Cricetulus griseus: one gene and its partner. The protein of the gene in region 2 purifies or fractionates together with the protein of the main gene of each other region. This does not show direct contact. Links are inferred from orthologs where the notes say so. Each region holds a gene or a part of one and is shown on either strand. Other genes may lie near its edges.

Region 1 (3,881 bases), on a different chromosome or scaffold from region 2:
CCAGGGCTTTTGTGTATGTAAGTTATAAACCTGCCTCTATTCATGTTTCTGTTTTCCCAAAACAGCTGACTTCCTGCTTTATAACTGCCCTTTGTAGACATAACTAGGACTTAGGTTGACAGGTTGTCAGAATTGGTGCTCTCTGTGGGACATGTCTGACTAATTTCTCACATTTGCATTTGGGCATGCAGGCTTTACAATGCCTAGTCTTCACTGTACAGACCACTCCTGTAGGTCTATAAATAGCGTGAAAGAGATGTGACTCCTTCCACAAGATAGAGCATTGGATGTTGACTAGGGTTGCCAGTGCCAAAGTGATTCATAGCCGCAGAAGAGACATCATGGCAGTAAGTGACAGAAAAATTTGAACTGAGGGGCCACACCAGTGTATCCTGTTGGCGTTTTTCCATAATTATAATCTACAAGGTTGTGAGCACTACCTTGTTTATTCTTGATGTTTGCCTCAGCCAATGCAGTGCATAGAACAGGGTCAATTCTGAATTTAGTGCAAGATCACACCAGGCAAGTATTATACATGCACATGAATGAACTTAGTATATTCCTGTTTATATTTTATGAGTTTCATTTTTGGATAGAGGGTTGTTGGAATAGCAGAATCATTTAGTACTCAGTAGTAAATGAGGCAAAACATAAACTGAACTTGTAGAAAGGCAATAATATAATTTGGTATAAGTAAATTTTGAGTTGTGTTGGCTCAGTTTGAAAGTCTGATCCTAATGAATTTAATACACTGTCACTAGACCTAAAGTGAGACAGTCCTTGAGATTAGACTTTGCCCTTATTTGTATTCCCAACCTTTGGAACATCATAGGGATTTAACAGTCAGTAAGTTTCTTCCTCCAGTGCTGGGGATTGAACCCAGGGCCTTCCACATGCTAGAAAAGTGCTGACTTATATCCCCAGCTTTGTATATGTTTTTGAGTTGTCTAGAAAAACTTGGGATGTTGTTTGCAGAATCCTCTCTAAAGACAACTTAAGAAGCATGATGTGGGGCTGGTGAGGTGTCCCAGTGGGTGTGGCCACACACATCTCTAAGCCTGACAGCTTGAGTTTGGTTCCCAGGACCATATGGTAGCAAGAGAGAACCGACTCCTAAAGGTTGTCTTGTTAATGCCAACTGTTCACTGTGACACTTGTTCACGGCCACATACTCATACATTCAAATGTGCATGTATACACAGAGAAAAATGTAATAAAAATATTAAATTCTTTGTGCCTACATTTCCTTTCCATAGTTACAGCCATTTTAAGGCTTGGATGTAGTTGTAATGTAGATCAGCTGACTTTTTCCTTATTTTTGCTTTTGAAAAAAGAAAGCATAAGTATAGTGTTGGTGACACACACCTTTAATCCCAGCACTTGGGAGGCAGAGGCAGGTGGATCTTTGTGAGTTCCAGGCCAGCCTGGTCTATGGAGTACGTTCCAGGACAGCCAAGACTGCATAGGGAAACAAACACTGTCTTGAAAAACCAAAAGGGGGAAATAAGGAGTTTGAAGCTAAGCATGAGCTACATGAGATCCTATCCCCAAAACCTTTTTTTGGAATGCTATTTCAAAAAACAATTTCAAAGATATCAGTTGTTTGTAATACCTCATCATGCTAGTTTGGAGGACTTTAAAAATAAACCAGCGTTTTATTTCTCTCTCTCTGTGTAGATCAGAGGAACAACCTGTTTGAATTGGCACTTTTCCTCCACTATGTGGATTCCAGGGAACAAACTCAGGCTGTTAAGCTTGCTGGCAGGTCCCTTTGCCCACAGAGCCACCCTGCTGGTGACTTTGCTTTGCTCTAGAACCTAGGGTTTTGTATGTGCTGGGCAGATGTTAGCTTTTAAGTGTACATGACTGTCTTATTTTCATTGTTGTCATTATGCCCCCCCCCCAACCTTTTTTTGTAGTCCTGGGGATTGAAACCAAGGCTTTTTATACCTAAGCAAACATTACACTACTAAGTACCCCTAACTCCAATATGGTATTTTAGATTTATGAGTTTACTGACTTAAGCCAAATTAGTGAAATTTGTTGCGTATATTGGGAAACATTTGATATGAAGTCTTCTGTGGGTTTGAGTTACTGTCTTACATATAGGAACTTTCAACCAATTTTTGTGTTTGGTTATAATGAAATGCATTTAATGAGAATTGTCTGTGACAAAAGAATAGATAAAGAATGGAAGTCATCTCCTTTCCCCTTAGCCTGAATGGTACTTGGCTCAGGTGCTTATGTGGATTGGAAGCCATGCTCACTTTCTGGATGAGAAGATTCAGCCCATATTGGATAAGGCAGGCTGTGCAGTAAACGCCAGGGTAAGAGGCTGAGGTCTGTGCATTTCAGCTGCATTAGAATTGTTCATGTGTCTGACCAACATGGTTCCTCGTACCTGTTTGTTTCTTTCAGCTTGAGTTTTCTCGGGGCCTTGTGATGCTCATTCTTGAGAAGCTGGCTTCTGATATACCTTGCCTGCTCTATGATGACAACCTTTTCTGTCATTTGGTGGATGAGGTGCTGTTGTTTGAAAGGGAGCTGCACAGTGTTCATGGCTATCCTAGCACTTTTGCCAGTTGTATGCATATTCTGTCAGAGGAAACCTGTTTTCAGAGATGGTTAACTGTGGAGAGAAAATGTAAGTGCTCCTGTGGCCATTGAGTTGGGAGGGCTGTCTCAATTTTTTTGTTTGCTTGCTTGCTTTTTGTTTTATTTTTAGACAGGGTCTCACTGTGTAACCTTGACTGGCCTAGAACTCTCTATATAGACTAGGTCGGCCTCAAACTTATTGAGATCTATCTGCCTCTGCCTCCTAAGGGTTAGGATTAAAGGCATGTACCACCACTGCCTGGCAATCTGTTTTTGGTGTGTACATTTTTTGGAGATTTTTTTTTCTTGGAATTAAAGTCTGCATGTTGAAATATTGAGTCAGTAGAGGATATTGCTGTTTCATAGATTTTTGCCATGTACTATTCTACTTGGTTGAGTATTTTTGGATGTGCCATATCCAGTCAGCTTAACTATTTTGAGGATTTGAGAGGAGGGAGAGCAAGGTATCTTATTTAACTCTAAAGTAGAACATTTTAAATATAGTGCAGTTAGTGGGAGATTGAAAATTTATTTTGTATGAAAAAAATTCATTGCTAAGAAGTGTAAGTTGATAAATTAAGAATGACTGTAACTCCTTGACATGATCCTTCTTTTTGTCTTGTTAGTTGCTCTTCAAAAAATGGACTCAATGCTCTCATCAGAGGCTGTTTGGGTATCCCAATATAAAGACATCACTGATGTGGATGAAATGAAGGTTCCAGACTGTGCAGAAGTTTTTATGACTTTACTTTTGGTTATAACTGGTAAGTACAGGTTTTTTTAATGTATGATGTTAGTTTAAAATGAAGTTTTTAAGCTAGGTATGGAGTTGCACACTTGTAATCCCATTTTGGGAGGTAGAAACATGGCAGGAGGACCAAGAGCTTAAGGCCAGTCTCAGCTACAAAGCAAGTTTGAGGTCAGCCTGGGATATATGAGACTGTCTTAAAAACAAAACAAAACAAAACAAAAAAAACAAGGAACAAACAAAACACCTAAACTAATTGTAGTTAGTTTGGGGCTTGAGAGATAGCTCAGCAGATAAGAATATTCGCTTCTCTTACAGAAAACCTGATTTAGCTCCTAGTTCATAAGCTTCTAGAGAACCCAGTGCCCTTTGGCCTCCTCAGGCACCAGGCATACATGTAGTTCACATGTACACATGCAGGCACACATTTATAACATAAAATAAAAATAACTAAATCGTTAAAGTAAGTAGTTTCACTGGGAGGTGGTGGCACAAGCCTTTAATTCCAGCACTTGGGAGGCAGAGCCAGCCTGGTCTA
Region 2 (4,402 bases):
CAGTTCTGTGCTACTCAGGAGCTCCTGCTGCTCTGGATATGCAGCTTCTGGGTACTGTGTAGTGGCTACCTTGGTGTCTATAACCTCTATTAAGTTAACAAGGAAGAAGCGCTGCAATCACACAGCATCTCCAGGCCCAGCCCATTCTCAAAGTCATTCAAGACATGCAGGTAAGTTGGAAGCATCTATCCTAATAGACAATGTGCTTGAATAATAATGTGCTCAGTAATGTCAGATGCATCAGGCACCATTAGATATGTATTTGCCCACCACCCTTTGTTTCCATTCCTGAACACAGCACTCCCCTTCCAAAGTTCTGGTGGGGCTTTAATCATAATATCCAAGTCACCTACTGGCCACACTCTGCAATGGACATGTGGCCTAGCCAACTAAAGAACCTTATTCCTGAGAACACAACAAAGGTTTTGGGGTCCAAGTAGGAACAGGTCCACCCCTGGGGTTTTATGGATGAGAGCTACAGAAAGACACACCAAGCCATTAGTTACGTGAGCCAACACACATATTCTGGTTTTGATTGTAATGAAAAATTATAATAGAGTCCACGAAAGCCTGGATAAAGAGAAGTCGGGTATTTATTGGGGAATTACTCACAAATGACAAAGCCCTTGGATGCTGCCATCTACCTTCTGACCACCATCCAAGAGAGTGTAAGAGCTTTCTCCCAGTCCATATGTAGTACCTAAGACCCTGCCCTGAAGGGGCCGTTACATTAAAGACTAATGGCTGAAAGAATCCCCGAAACACTGGGTGGTTTATAAGTTACTATTACTTGTAAACAAAGATTTCAGACTCTCACAGGCACTTGCACACCATTCATCATTTCATCCATCAAGTGACCTTCTAAAGTGGCTATCATTCTTAGAAAAAAAAAAAAACAGGTAATTGAGGTTAAGCAACTTCTTGACCTCACTCAGCCAGAAAGAAATTTAAATCCAAGCCCTTCTGCTCCAAGTCCCATGTACTATGAACTCTCAAGAAGAAAAACACTTTGACATTGAAAAGTCCAAAAACTCTGTTTAAAATTATTATGTGGGGTGGTGTTGAGTGATGATTGAGTGATTAGGAATGCTTACAGCTCTTGCAGACAATTCAAGTTCAGGTCCAAGTATCCAAGTAGGTTGGCTTACAACCACCTGTAACTCTAGCTCCAGGGGATCTGATATCCTCTTCTGGCCTCCCATGGGCACCCCCACATACATGGTGCGCATGCATGCATGCATGCATGCACACACACACCTTTTAAAATTTTAGGTGGATATTTAAGATACAAAACCAGAGGGAGAAAAACCACAGAACTAGCAAAGCAGAGTTGGCTTCTACCTCCAGCTCTAGGACATGGCCTCAGTTGCAAAGACTTGGGACCCCTCACTGCACTTGTCTGAGTGTTGTCTTCCCACTTATAAAGATGATTAGTCTGAACAAGATGAATTCCAGGCCCTTTAAAAGTCTGTTCTGAAAAGTCTAAGTTCTGTTTAGATATGCAATCAATTTTTAACCAGTTGCTGGGTAGAACCTCAAGCAACTTGACATCAAGCCCAGCAGTTGGTAATGGCTCTAAGGGCACAGAATTGAGGGGTTCTGAGCTACAAGATCTATTGGAAAATGAGTGCTGGCTTCTGTGGTACCACAGAAGCAGCATGTAAGAATATATGCGTAGGCTTGACATGTTTGCCATTGCTGACATTTCCCCTTTAACTCAGATGTGCTAGTCTCTTTCTACCCCTGGGGCTGCCTGAACCTTCAAAGAATTGTCATCCCTAAGGCTTTTAAATGAAAATAATTGAAAATGCATTTTCAGCACTTGGGGTGCAGTCCAACTGATAGCAAAGCTCTCTCCCCACAGGGCTTCTAGCTGAACTGTGCTTCTTAACTCTACTGTTTCCAAATCCCCTATTCCTGAGGACTGAAAATCTGTGCAGTGTTAATAATAAACCACCAATTTCAGGAAGGGCCTTCACATACCAAAACTGTGCTGTCCACACACTGAGAGCAACCTCCACAACAGTTTAGCCAGACTGAGGGTAGGGAGTGAGGACACCTTATTTCCCCTTCCTCTCATTTCAAACTGAGACATGCCCCCTTCAATGTAATACAGGGATAATAGGAAATGTGATATATGATATATATGATGAAGTCAATGGAGTTTTGTTGTGCTTTTGTTTTGTTTGTTTGTTTTTGAGACAAGGTTTCTCTGTGTAGCTCCAGATGCCCCGGAACTCACTCTGTAGACCAGGCTGGCCTCGAACTCCCAGATCTGCCTGCCTCTGACTCTCAAGTGCTGGGATTAAAGGCATGTGCCACCATACCAATGGAGTTTTTTAAACTGTTTCAAATAAAAAGGGAGTTCAGCTGAAAGTGGATTTTAAACCCTATGCGCAAGGGGAGGCCCAAACATATACATGAAAAGGGCAAAGGTAGAGAGTGGTGAACGTTGCGACAGGAAGCGAAGGACTGTGGGAACTTTTCACTGGCAGTCAAGTCAGCAGTGACAGCGAACTCACTGCCTCAACTTAGCCATCAACTTCTTACTACATGGATAACCAAGCATCTCTAAGTCTTGCTTGCTACAGTGCTCGGATACACGTCCCTCTTTCCTTATAATAAACCTGTCGCTGCCCCTAGCCAGCTGTCGGCTGCGTGAGACCGACTCCCTCTCTTCACTCGGGGCTTACAAGGCTGGGTCGAGTTTGGAGTTCAGGGTCCCGGGTGCAGATCTGCCCCATCTCCGGCTCGGCGTTTCCATAGCAACCAGCTTACCACTTCGCGAGCCCGGCTGGAGAAGTCTCCCTTGGGCCGAGGGCTTCGGCGGAACAGCTCGTCCCGGCTGCCATCGGCCCCGCCACCCACCGCTACTCCCAGAGCCTTGTTCCGTGTCTTCACCGTCTTGACGCTCGCCCGGAAGAGGAGTGTGATGTCCACCGCCATAGCGACCCACACCGCAGTCAGAAGCCGGTCGGCACACGTCAGCAGCAAGCGACCCCGGCAAGAACCGGGTCGGGGAGGGACGTTCCATTTTTGCACGCCTCCGCCCAGGAACTGTGAGCAGAGAAGAAAGGTTCCGCTCTCCGCCCGTGTACCACGGCGAGTGGAGAAAGGTTCCGGCCTCAGTTACGAAAGCGGACTCTTCACTCTAGACGGAGACACTCAGTATCTCCACACTCGTTTCTCCTCGCTGCAAACCGGCAAGCTCAGACGCTCGGAAACTTCCCGGTGCTTTTAGAACTGGGGTTCAAGGAACGACAGTATCATGAAGCCAGAAAAAGTGCTCCATTACGATTCTTTAGAAGGCAGGCGGTTTGGTTGACAGGTGCGAGGAGTATCACCTTTGACCTTTGGTGTCAAGGGTTCCCCTTTGAGCAGCAATGAATGATGACCGGAGCTAGAACAGGGTAAGTGTTCAAGAAACAGAGTTAGAGGCCAGTGGCCTTTCTTCTTCAACCTTCAGCCACTTCGTAAAACGAATCCAGCGCCTTCTTTGGAATGCACAGAGAGTTGAACAGAAGGCGCATATAAAACGTTTTCATGTTGTTTGACTCTTAGTATGTGGCCATTAGGCATTGCCGATGTTGATAATATGGTTGTTCACAGTCTTCTTACATATGATGCTGAAGAGGCTTAGAGCATAGATGAGGAGAGCTTGCAGGAATGTATCAGAGTCAGACAAAAGTGAAAGTCAGTGAAACATACTGACCTTGATCGTGAGTTATGTGCTGAAAAGTGCTCTCTTGAATCATAGTTATAGGGAAAGGAGGAAGGGGGAAGAATGAGAGTTACTTAAGTTGACTAAAGTCAGACAGTAAGATTTTTCTGAAAGCTTGACTCGTGGTTCATTTTATTTTTTATACACTTTTAACTAAAATACAATTACACCCTGTTCCCTCCTCCATTCCCTTTCCCTGTTCCAATCCCCTCAGTTCCTCTCCCTCCAACTCCTTCATCATTCTCCTTTTCGGTCTCAAATTGATAGCCTCTTCTCCCTGGATTATTATTGTTACATAAAAGTATCCATAGATATATAACCCCATTCTGCGGAGTCTGTTTTTTGTTTGTTTGTTTTGTTTTTTATTGTTGTTGTTTGTGTGTCTATGGTTTCCAGGATAGTCACTTTGTATTGGACAACCAATTAGTGGGCCCATCCCTAGGATAGGCTAACCATCCCTCTCTCATCAATCATAGTTGCCTGGAGGCCAGTAGTTTCTTGTCCAGGGGTGTGACCCTGTGGTTCAGTTTTAATTTAATATGGACAATATAACTATGATGTGTGTTAAAATGCAGCTTTTAACCGTCAACAAGATGAAAAGCTAGTCTCATACTAACCCTGGGATCATATTTGCCTTTGCACTTGCATGCCCTAATCAGTTGTATGGCTGAGTTTTCCAGA

Evidence for each region. Proteins that work in one complex are often made in the same cells at the same time.
Region 1: the proteins of Stx18 (region 2) and Rint1 purify together in Homo sapiens (co-immunoprecipitation; 6 studies listed by BioGRID and IntAct, counting the BioPlex papers as one, with this or other methods). This does not show direct contact. The link is inferred for Cricetulus griseus from reciprocal best matches to the Homo sapiens genes STX18 and RINT1.

The regions. Positions count from the first base shown.
Region 1 is NW_023276806.1:170,806,052-170,809,932, reverse strand, and holds part of Rint1 (RAD50-interacting protein 1), read left to right. Parts: intron 1-2,216; coding exon 2,217-2,327; intron 2,328-2,418; coding exon 2,419-2,644; intron 2,645-3,221; coding exon 3,222-3,359; intron 3,360-3,881. UniProt on the Homo sapiens protein: Involved in regulation of membrane traffic between the Golgi and the endoplasmic reticulum (ER); the function is proposed to depend on its association in the NRZ complex which is believed to play a role in SNARE assembly at the ER.
Region 2 is NW_023276807.1:106,983,799-106,988,200, reverse strand, and holds the start of Stx18 (syntaxin-18), read right to left. Parts: upstream 3,047-4,402; 5' UTR 3,035-3,046; coding exon 2,779-3,034; intron 1-2,778. UniProt on the Homo sapiens protein: Syntaxin that may be involved in targeting and fusion of Golgi-derived retrograde transport vesicles with the ER.